2 linked regions of the Bombyx mori genome follow. The protein of the gene in region 1 binds, or shares a complex with, the protein of each later gene. Links are inferred from orthologs where the notes say so. Each region holds a gene or a part of one and is shown on either strand. Other genes may lie near its edges.

The links.
Region 2: the proteins of protein FAM91A1 (region 1) and TBC1 domain family member 23 are in contact, whole or in part, in a crystal structure (PDB 8JJ9), measured with the Homo sapiens proteins. The link is inferred for Bombyx mori from reciprocal best matches to the Homo sapiens genes FAM91A1 and TBC1D23. Residues at the interface, in NP_659400.3 of Homo sapiens: Arg49, Glu60, Arg61, Tyr64, Asp84, Ile85, Lys88, Gly89, Leu90, Arg91, Ile92, Thr93, Phe95, Ser96, Ile159, Pro161, Tyr176, Ile177, Thr178, Glu179, Asp181, Ile182, Lys190, Asp194, Ile197, Asp198, Tyr216, Asn217, Lys218, Gly219; in NP_001186127.1 of Homo sapiens: Arg533, His534, Val535, Ser536, Ser537, Asp539, Val541, Gly542, Lys543, Pro544, Tyr545, Arg546, Val548, Pro550, Val551, Phe552.

Annotation. Positions count from the first base shown.
Region 1 is NC_085125.1:2,177,072-2,180,903, forward strand, and holds part of protein FAM91A1, read left to right. Parts: intron 1-153; coding exon 154-331; intron 332-1,041; coding exon 1,042-1,175; intron 1,176-1,703; exon of another isoform or gene 1,704-2,122; coding exon 2,123-2,225; exon of another isoform or gene 2,226-2,280; intron 2,281-2,445; exon of another isoform or gene 2,446-2,584; intron 2,585-3,526; coding exon 3,527-3,628; intron 3,629-3,832. UniProt on the Homo sapiens protein: As component of the WDR11 complex acts together with TBC1D23 to facilitate the golgin-mediated capture of vesicles generated using AP-1.
Region 2 is NC_085118.1:8,948,396-8,952,735, forward strand, and holds the start of TBC1 domain family member 23, read right to left. Parts: upstream 3,087-4,340; 5' UTR 2,899-3,086; coding exon 2,873-2,898; intron 2,471-2,872; coding exon 448-2,470; 3' UTR 1-447. UniProt on the Homo sapiens protein: Putative Rab GTPase-activating protein which plays a role in vesicular trafficking. Involved in endosome-to-Golgi trafficking.

The sequences.
Region 1 (3,832 bases):
GCTACCGTGGTCAACACTACAACCAGACGGCGCAGCTCACCCCAAGGACGCCCGTCCGACGGAGTCTTCGAGGCGAATCGAAGGCTCTGAAACGTCGGCCGTCTCGGTACGGCAAAATTCGATTCGACCCTGAAAACCTGATGTCGTTCTCAGACGGGGTCTGGTGTACGTGGACGTGCCCATAACGGCGGCTGATAAGGTGTCCGTCCCTCCGTTGAAGGGCTTCGTCATGAACCGTGTGGCCGGGGACTACTTCGAGACCTTGCTGTACAAGGTGTTCGTTTCCATCGACGAGCACACCGGGGTCGGGGAACTTGCTGCCGTCCTCCAGGTCGGTAGGAGATGTACCTTGACACGCTTTTTTTTACCGACAGACACCTACAACGTAAATACCGCCTTGAGATATGAGTTGTAAGGTCTCAGTTATTAGAGCACAACGGCTGCCCCATTCTTCAAACCGAAAGGCATTACTGATTCACGGCAGAAATAGGCAGGGTGGTGATACCTAAATGCGCAGACTCACAATTTTTTTTTATAGCTTAGTTGGGTAGACAAAACTCACAGCTTACCTGGTGCTAAGTGGTTACTGGAGCCCATAGACATCTATGACGTAAATCCGCCACCCACCTTGAGATATAAGTTCTAAGGTCTCAAGTATAGTTACAACGGCTGCCCCTTCAAACCGAAACGAATTACTGCTTCACGGCAGAAATAGGCAGGGCGGTGGAACCTACCCGTGCGGACTCACAAGAGGTCCTACCACCACGTAAATTATAATTTTGCGGGTTTGATTTTTATTACACCATTATTACACCTTCACCGTGAAAGTAAATCGTAAACATTTGTTAAGTACGTATTTCATTAGAAAAATTAGTACCCGCCTGCGGGATTTGAACATCGGTGCATCGCTATATACGAATGCACCGGACATCTTATCCTTTAGGCCACGACGACTTCAATGTTATCCGATATCCGATATATCACTCGACACAAGATGGACTCTCAAATGATGAAGATGGATGAAATTTGTTTTAATCAAAGGTTGACTGCGAGCTGGTGAAGCAAGCGGTGTCGCTGTACTGCCGGCTTGGGTTCGCGAACAACCTGCACCCCCCGCCCGTCTCCCCGCCGCACCCCTCCTGGAGCGACGCGGTCACGACACACACCCATCCGCCGTGAGTGTGACTTAGCGACGCACTAACATATTCTGTGCAAATTCGAGAAGAAAGCTCAAGAAAAAAAACAAAAAAATATTTTTTTATTGCTTGATGTGTGGTTGATCTCACAGCCCACCTGATATTAAGTGGTTACTGGAGCCCATAGACATTTTTTTTTTGTAAATTTTTTCCTTATTAGGGGAGGCAAGGGGACCTAAGCCCAGACAGCCTTGTCTGTTTTATATAATTTCTTAAATAAATTTTCAAAAAAGCCGAAGCCAGGTCTTGTATGATATATATTATATCCTGAAATAAAAAATTCATTAAGGCCGAAGCCAAGTCCTTTATGCCCATAGACATCTACAACGTAAATGCCGCCACCCACCTTGAGATATGAGTTCTAAGGTCTCAGTATAGTTAGTTACAAAGGCTGCCGCGCCGTAAATATCACGACACACTTGATATGTACTTGCAAACTCACTGATGTGTCAGGACACGGTGGTTGAGAGCCGCTGGCTTAACTAATGGAATGCAAAGTCACGTAAACTTGTTTCAATTCCATATATTCGTGTATTAAAAGAGATAACGCCATTAGAGTCTAATGTTATAATAATTATTCAACGATTTCAACTATTCTAATAATCGATGTAGATATGACCATTTTGAAGCCCTTTTTTTTAATTAATTTATTAATTATAATTTTATCCTTTACTAGCCGTACTCGCCCGCTTCGCTGGGCATTTAAAATTAACATTATTATTTATTATCATTATTATTAGGGAGTCCAACACTCATATAAATATTAGCCTATCTATTATGTACATGTATTTTCTACATGGATACCAAGCTTCAAGTCAATCGGATGTATGGTTCAGTAGTTATAACGGAACATCCGTAAAAATCACTGTAGATTTATATATTACTATAGTTTTTTTTGTATATGGATTAGCATATTCTTTGCACAGGTACCGACAAATAACACCTTTGACCTTTGACCCGGGAGTCGATGAGGAAACTCTGCAAATGGAACCGGTGCTTCTGAAAGACGCCCCATCTACTTCCAAACAGGTGTGTGCTTTTAATTCGAAACAATTGAAACGGCAACGTCCGAACTTTTATAAAACTGTAAAATACAAAAACCAACTTTATTGCTATTGTAATAAAGGTTATGTTTTATTGTTATGTTAAGATCGATCGTGTGGTCACTCACTTCTGAGTTGAGTGTTAGATTAGAAAGCTTGTAGGAAGAATTTGTGGAGAAGAATGAAGATCAAGATACTGCAATTACCTCATCAGTCTGCCTCACCAGAACGCTTTCAAGATACAACCACAGTGCGCTGGCTAAGCGTTAATGAAGTTTAAACTTTTTAAGAAACACAAACTGACGGCTAACCGCAGTGATAATGTATGTCTCTTATTTTTTTTACTTTCAAAATGTTGCACATGCTGCGGCAAAGCGTGGCGCGACACGACACTAGTCGTGCTCAGTTGGTAGCGCTGTCACCGAACAAGTTGGCGGGAGATTTCAAAGATTTGAACTTGGAAATCGAACAATCACTATTTGTCATTATTAGTCTATGGTGACAGCTCGGCATCATCTGTCCATATCCTCGAAGTATAGACCCTTAAGCCTTGTTCGGACTAGGCGAGTATTTTAATCCAGTACCGAGTAATTTAGTAGCCAAAAATTTAGTCTAGTAGGTTAGTAAATAATTTAGTCAAGTCAATCCATTTTGTTCTATTTTTTCAAGCGAGTAGCGAGTAGCTTAGCCACTAAATTAATCGGTATTCGACTAAAATACTCACCTAGTCCGAACAAGGCTTTAGAGTTACCAGGTCACAAAATCCCTTAAAAAATTGACCCTTAGAGACTTTTTGGCGGGAACGCGAGGAGTGAAGTTGTGTGATTTGGTTTTTTTTTGTCTATTTAGTGTTTCTTCAGGTTTAAATGTGTAATCACAGTGATTTATTAATTGTTTAGCATCTGTAAATGAACCCAAATGTGGGAAAATGAAACAAAGTCGCTGGACGTAAAAATGAAATGAAATGAAACGAGATGAGATGACATGGGATGAAATATAATCTTAGTAAAATGGTGGTCATTTACTGAGATTTTTTCAGTGGACTTTTTGGAGGATCCCGAAAAGTTACGTCCAGCGGCTTTGTTTCATTTTCCCACACCACCGTTATTAAAAATTTAATCCTGAAGAAACACTAAATAGACAAAATAAAACAAATCAAACAACTTCACTCCTCGCGTTCCCGCTAAAAAGTCTCAATCCTAAGCTTTTCCTTATAATCAGAATTGCTAGAGCTAGAAAACGTATTTTGGCACAATTTTATTCTGGATTGTTCTTATTTGTTTGCAGATGCATGAAACTCCTGAGGGATCCGGGGGCGGTGGCCGTCGGGTAGCCGTGCTGTTTGACTCGACACTCGCCGCGTATCTGATGATGGGCAATCTGTCACCGGTATAATAAAATTTCAATAAAAAAATCCTGTATTTCCTTATCCTTAATTTCCATTTCAAATGTGGTATTGGTTTGTTAATGTTTAGTTATTTATTGTTACGCGCTGGGGTTCGGGATAAATAAAATTCTACCAAACTACAACTAAAAAACTGTATTCAACATTTAGAACACTTAAACACTTCACAAGCACTTTAAAACACTCAA
Region 2 (4,340 bases), on another chromosome or scaffold:
TAATTTTGATCTACTGTTTATAATGTGTATGTTTATTGTATAATTTCAGGGACTCTGAAGTTAAAGTAAGTTGAGTCTACTGGCAGCCCCAATTCAGTTTAAGATCAAGTATTAAAATCACTTATTTTGCTATAATTTCATTAAAATCTGACAAATGTTTTAAATTACTCAAGAAATAAAATACTTTAAAATTCCTGAAATTTCTTAGGCTAATTTCTTTGTATTTACAACAAATAAATGCGCTTTTACTGCCACTAATCGCAAACAAACCTGCAGTTACTATTATTACAACATTTATCATTTTATTCCGATAGGGCTATGTATACAAGTTAACATGATAGTTGTTTTTTTTTTAAATAATTCTTAGTCCTTAGATAAGCATCTGCATTATACTTGTAGCAAATAAGCTACTTCTCAGAACTAAGTCAATATGAAAATGTTAATAGTTCACTGTAATTTGTTATCCAACTGTTGTACAATTTGATTTGATACAACTTTAGTAGCTACAGAGGCATTTGGAATAAGAAATCTATCCATATCTTTAATTAGTAAATTATCACCATCTGGAATACCATACTTAAATGTAATTAATTCTGGATGCCTCTTCTTAGCTGTTATTTTAACTATAGTAGAGAGAGGTCTCCTAGACATAATCTTTGCTAGGCCTCGTTTATTTGGAATGTCACGTAAAACAATTAAGTGTGTTTCTGTTACAACTATATAAGAATCATGCATATATCCATTAAGTAATACTTCCTGGCATTGAAAATTATCAATAGTATTTGGTTCCTTAAGAAACGACTGCACATTAACTATTTCTTCGATAGAATCAGAAAGTGTAAGATCATGACGTAAACTATCAGACCGTGAGTCTTCATCTTCATCATTTATGCTAAATACAGGTGGTACATTTCTATACCTTTGCTCTTTTCTATCATTTGCAGACACATGCCATTCACTATTATTGTATGTGGAATTTGGGTTAACTATGTACTCTATCAATTTCCCTTTGACTTCTTGACTTTTAGCTTTCATGGCAGATGACAATTTGCTAAACAATTGTTTAGTAATCATATTCTCACTAGTTTTGGTTGCACTGGCTACGTTTTTACTCATTCCAACAGAGGTATTATTTGGAACACAAACAAGACATGCTGATGCATTGTGTTCCTCTAGGCAATCTGTCATATGAGGCCCAAAATAATCATGAATTGCCACAAAGCCACCATCAAGCATAGAAACATGTTTAGTATTTCTCTTCAGAAATGATGCAACCACCATATGAGCATAACTATCTTCTTCAGTTCTACCTGATCCGACAAAACATAGATGTTCTCCAGCAGCAAGTGATCCAGCAGCTAAGGCTTGTCTTTGAGCATTTAATAGTCCTTGCACGGCTGTATTAAAAGCTGCAGGTTCTTGCAACATCAAATTACAATCTAGATGAAATGCGGTGGATAAATGACCTGCATTATATTGATCTGTTGGTCGACAATCAACTAAAAAGAATTTCACACTATCTGAATTTGCCAATTCTAATGTTGCACTTTCAATTAATTCATGAACTGCTACAGGCAGACATAAAGCTTGTGAGTACAGTCTTGAATTTATTTCCAATTCACTTTCTGAAAATAAGACCTCTAAGACATCATCTCTGAAAGACTGAGGTGTTTTTAATGAGTAGTAATGAGCCAATGAACAGAAATCCGAAACATCATTTGCTTCCAAATCTGCAGGCATATTGGTAAGAATTTGTATAATGGCTGTTTTATCATCATTTTTCATCTGTAGTAATTGTTCTCTGGCATTAATGATCATAATTAAGCATAGAAAAAATATGAAGAACGGATCTGACCTTTGAAAATACAAATCCCACATGTATAAAGCTACATCCAAACTACATGTACCAGCAAATAATGACTTCAACCATGGTGAACAATACTGTTCTGGAGTGATTCTTTTTGTATCCAAAAATGAACAAAGTTCTGGATCATGGTATTGAAGTATCAACCTTAATATATGGCAAGGTACTCCATTTTTTGAACAGCCCTTTGGTGTATACAATTTTAAAATCCTTTCAAACAAATTATAAGTATCTGACCGTGGTAGCTTCAAACTTAACAAAGGTAATAAAATATCAATCCAACCATTGTTTGAAGTGTAAGTTGTGTTCTTCGATTTGCAATAAAATGTGATTATTGACTCAACATCAGATATAACTGCTAATTTATCATCTTCTTCATTGCCAAGTTTTTCAACAAACTTTTTTACATCATCTCTTAATTCATTCTGATTAGGTAAGTCAAATATCTCATCAAACAAAAGCAATTGGTTTCCAGCATCTTGACAATTCAAACATAACAACCACACATCAGGACGTAAGCTAACAGGTATTTTTTTTCCTTTCGTTAATGCATTAATTTCTTGTGCGGTACATCCATCGAGAAGAGCAGACTCTAGTTCTATCAACCTAAAATAGTTTTTTTAAAATTATTAGTGCCAAGAAGTAAATTTTACATTAAATATAATATTGTAGAAGGAATGGCATTTTTTATGAGAATTTACTACAATTATTTTTCCAAGGGTGACGATAACGTATAATCGCTATTTATATATATAATTGCTAACGATATCTCACACAATTACCTATGCAAGTATACTGCAATGTGCAAACATGGTCATGAAATAATTAACAAAACGACGTCCTTGACAATAGTGAAATACTGATAAATGCTCAAAACTGTACTAGTAGTATCTGAAGTAATCTTAGCCCTCATCTATGAGGACTAAGATCAAACGATACAAGATCAAATAATTCTCATGAGCAAATATCCCGAATTATAAGTAAATTAAAACTAAAATATTTCCTTACCAAGTATCATCGTCGTCTCCTGCCATTTGTTTCGTTTGACACGACAAATTTAAATTAGTTGATAACTACAACACAATGGAGCTCCAAATCGTGCGAAAAATACATCAAAACAATTTCGTAAATATTGAAATTTAGTTTTGCAAATTTTAGTAATTTTAAGTTAGCCTATCAAATATGTTATCTATGCAGTATGTATACAATACATACAAACCTCGAGATAACACAGTACCGTAAAATGGAACGATTAGGGATTGAGAGGCGAATCGGGAAAAAACCGAGAAAATCTTTCGACGCTCATTATTAGTTTTATATTCGTTGCAAAATCTTCCATTTTTTTGTAGTTTAATAGTAGAATGTTGAAAGTTTACAAAACAACTCTGAATATGCATGATAATAGCTGCTAACTTATAAAAAATCGCGTTTCAAATTAACTTCCTGTGGTGGTAATTATTTTAGTGCTAGAAACTTTGCTCTCTTTTATTTATTTGATAATAATAGAAGACGACTGTGATTTATAAACGTTATTTAGTGTTTGAACCATCATGTATATTAAAAATAAGTCTCAGTTGTTATTGGTTTTAATGTATTTGATAAAATAAAAATACATGTAAAAATCTGTTGTTTCTGGGGATATTGGGGACGTTTTAGGTACAAATAACAACGAAAAAGGGATCAATTGGGATGAGAATACGTGAAATGGAAACGACCTAAATATAAATAGGTACAGGTTTCTAGGGTTGTCTATGTAGTTACAACAATATTTTTTAGATTTGTTGGTAAAAATCTTTTTTATTCATGATGTTTTTGTTTAGAACTTTTATTCAAAATTATCAATGTGTTATTTTATTGTTTGGTAAATATTTATATTATCAGTTACGTATTGTTTTCTATTTTTGGATATGCCTCGCGTGTACGTATCAAAGAGTGCAGATATTATCCCTTAATATTAAAAACAGCAATTGGGAAATTGCCAAATTGGGAATAAGTCTTTAGTTGAAATAGCTAAGCAATTTAATATAAGTAAGTCAATTTTGCACAGACATGTAATAAGAACAATGAAATCTCAAGGTGGACAAAAATGTCTAAGTAATACATAATAAAATATTTAATATTTGTTCAGTGTCCGTTTTTCAATGTTTTTTATTGATGATCACTTTGTTGGTGCAACTAAATAAATAAATAAATTAAAACCAAGTAGTGCCCACCCTAGAAAATTTCTCATTTCGTCCCAATTAACCGCAATTTCCGGGTAAATAGGGATTACACATATTTTTGCTTTTTTTGCTTAAACTGGAATGCTAGTTGCATAGTTTTAAATTGGACAACAAAGATGCCCCCAAGACTCAATCATTTTGATCCTGATATAGCATTATATACATCAACAACTACCTTAAAATTGGTCATAAAGTTGGAATTTGTCCCTAATCGCCCCATTTTACCAGTACACACTAGAAGGCAGATTTATATA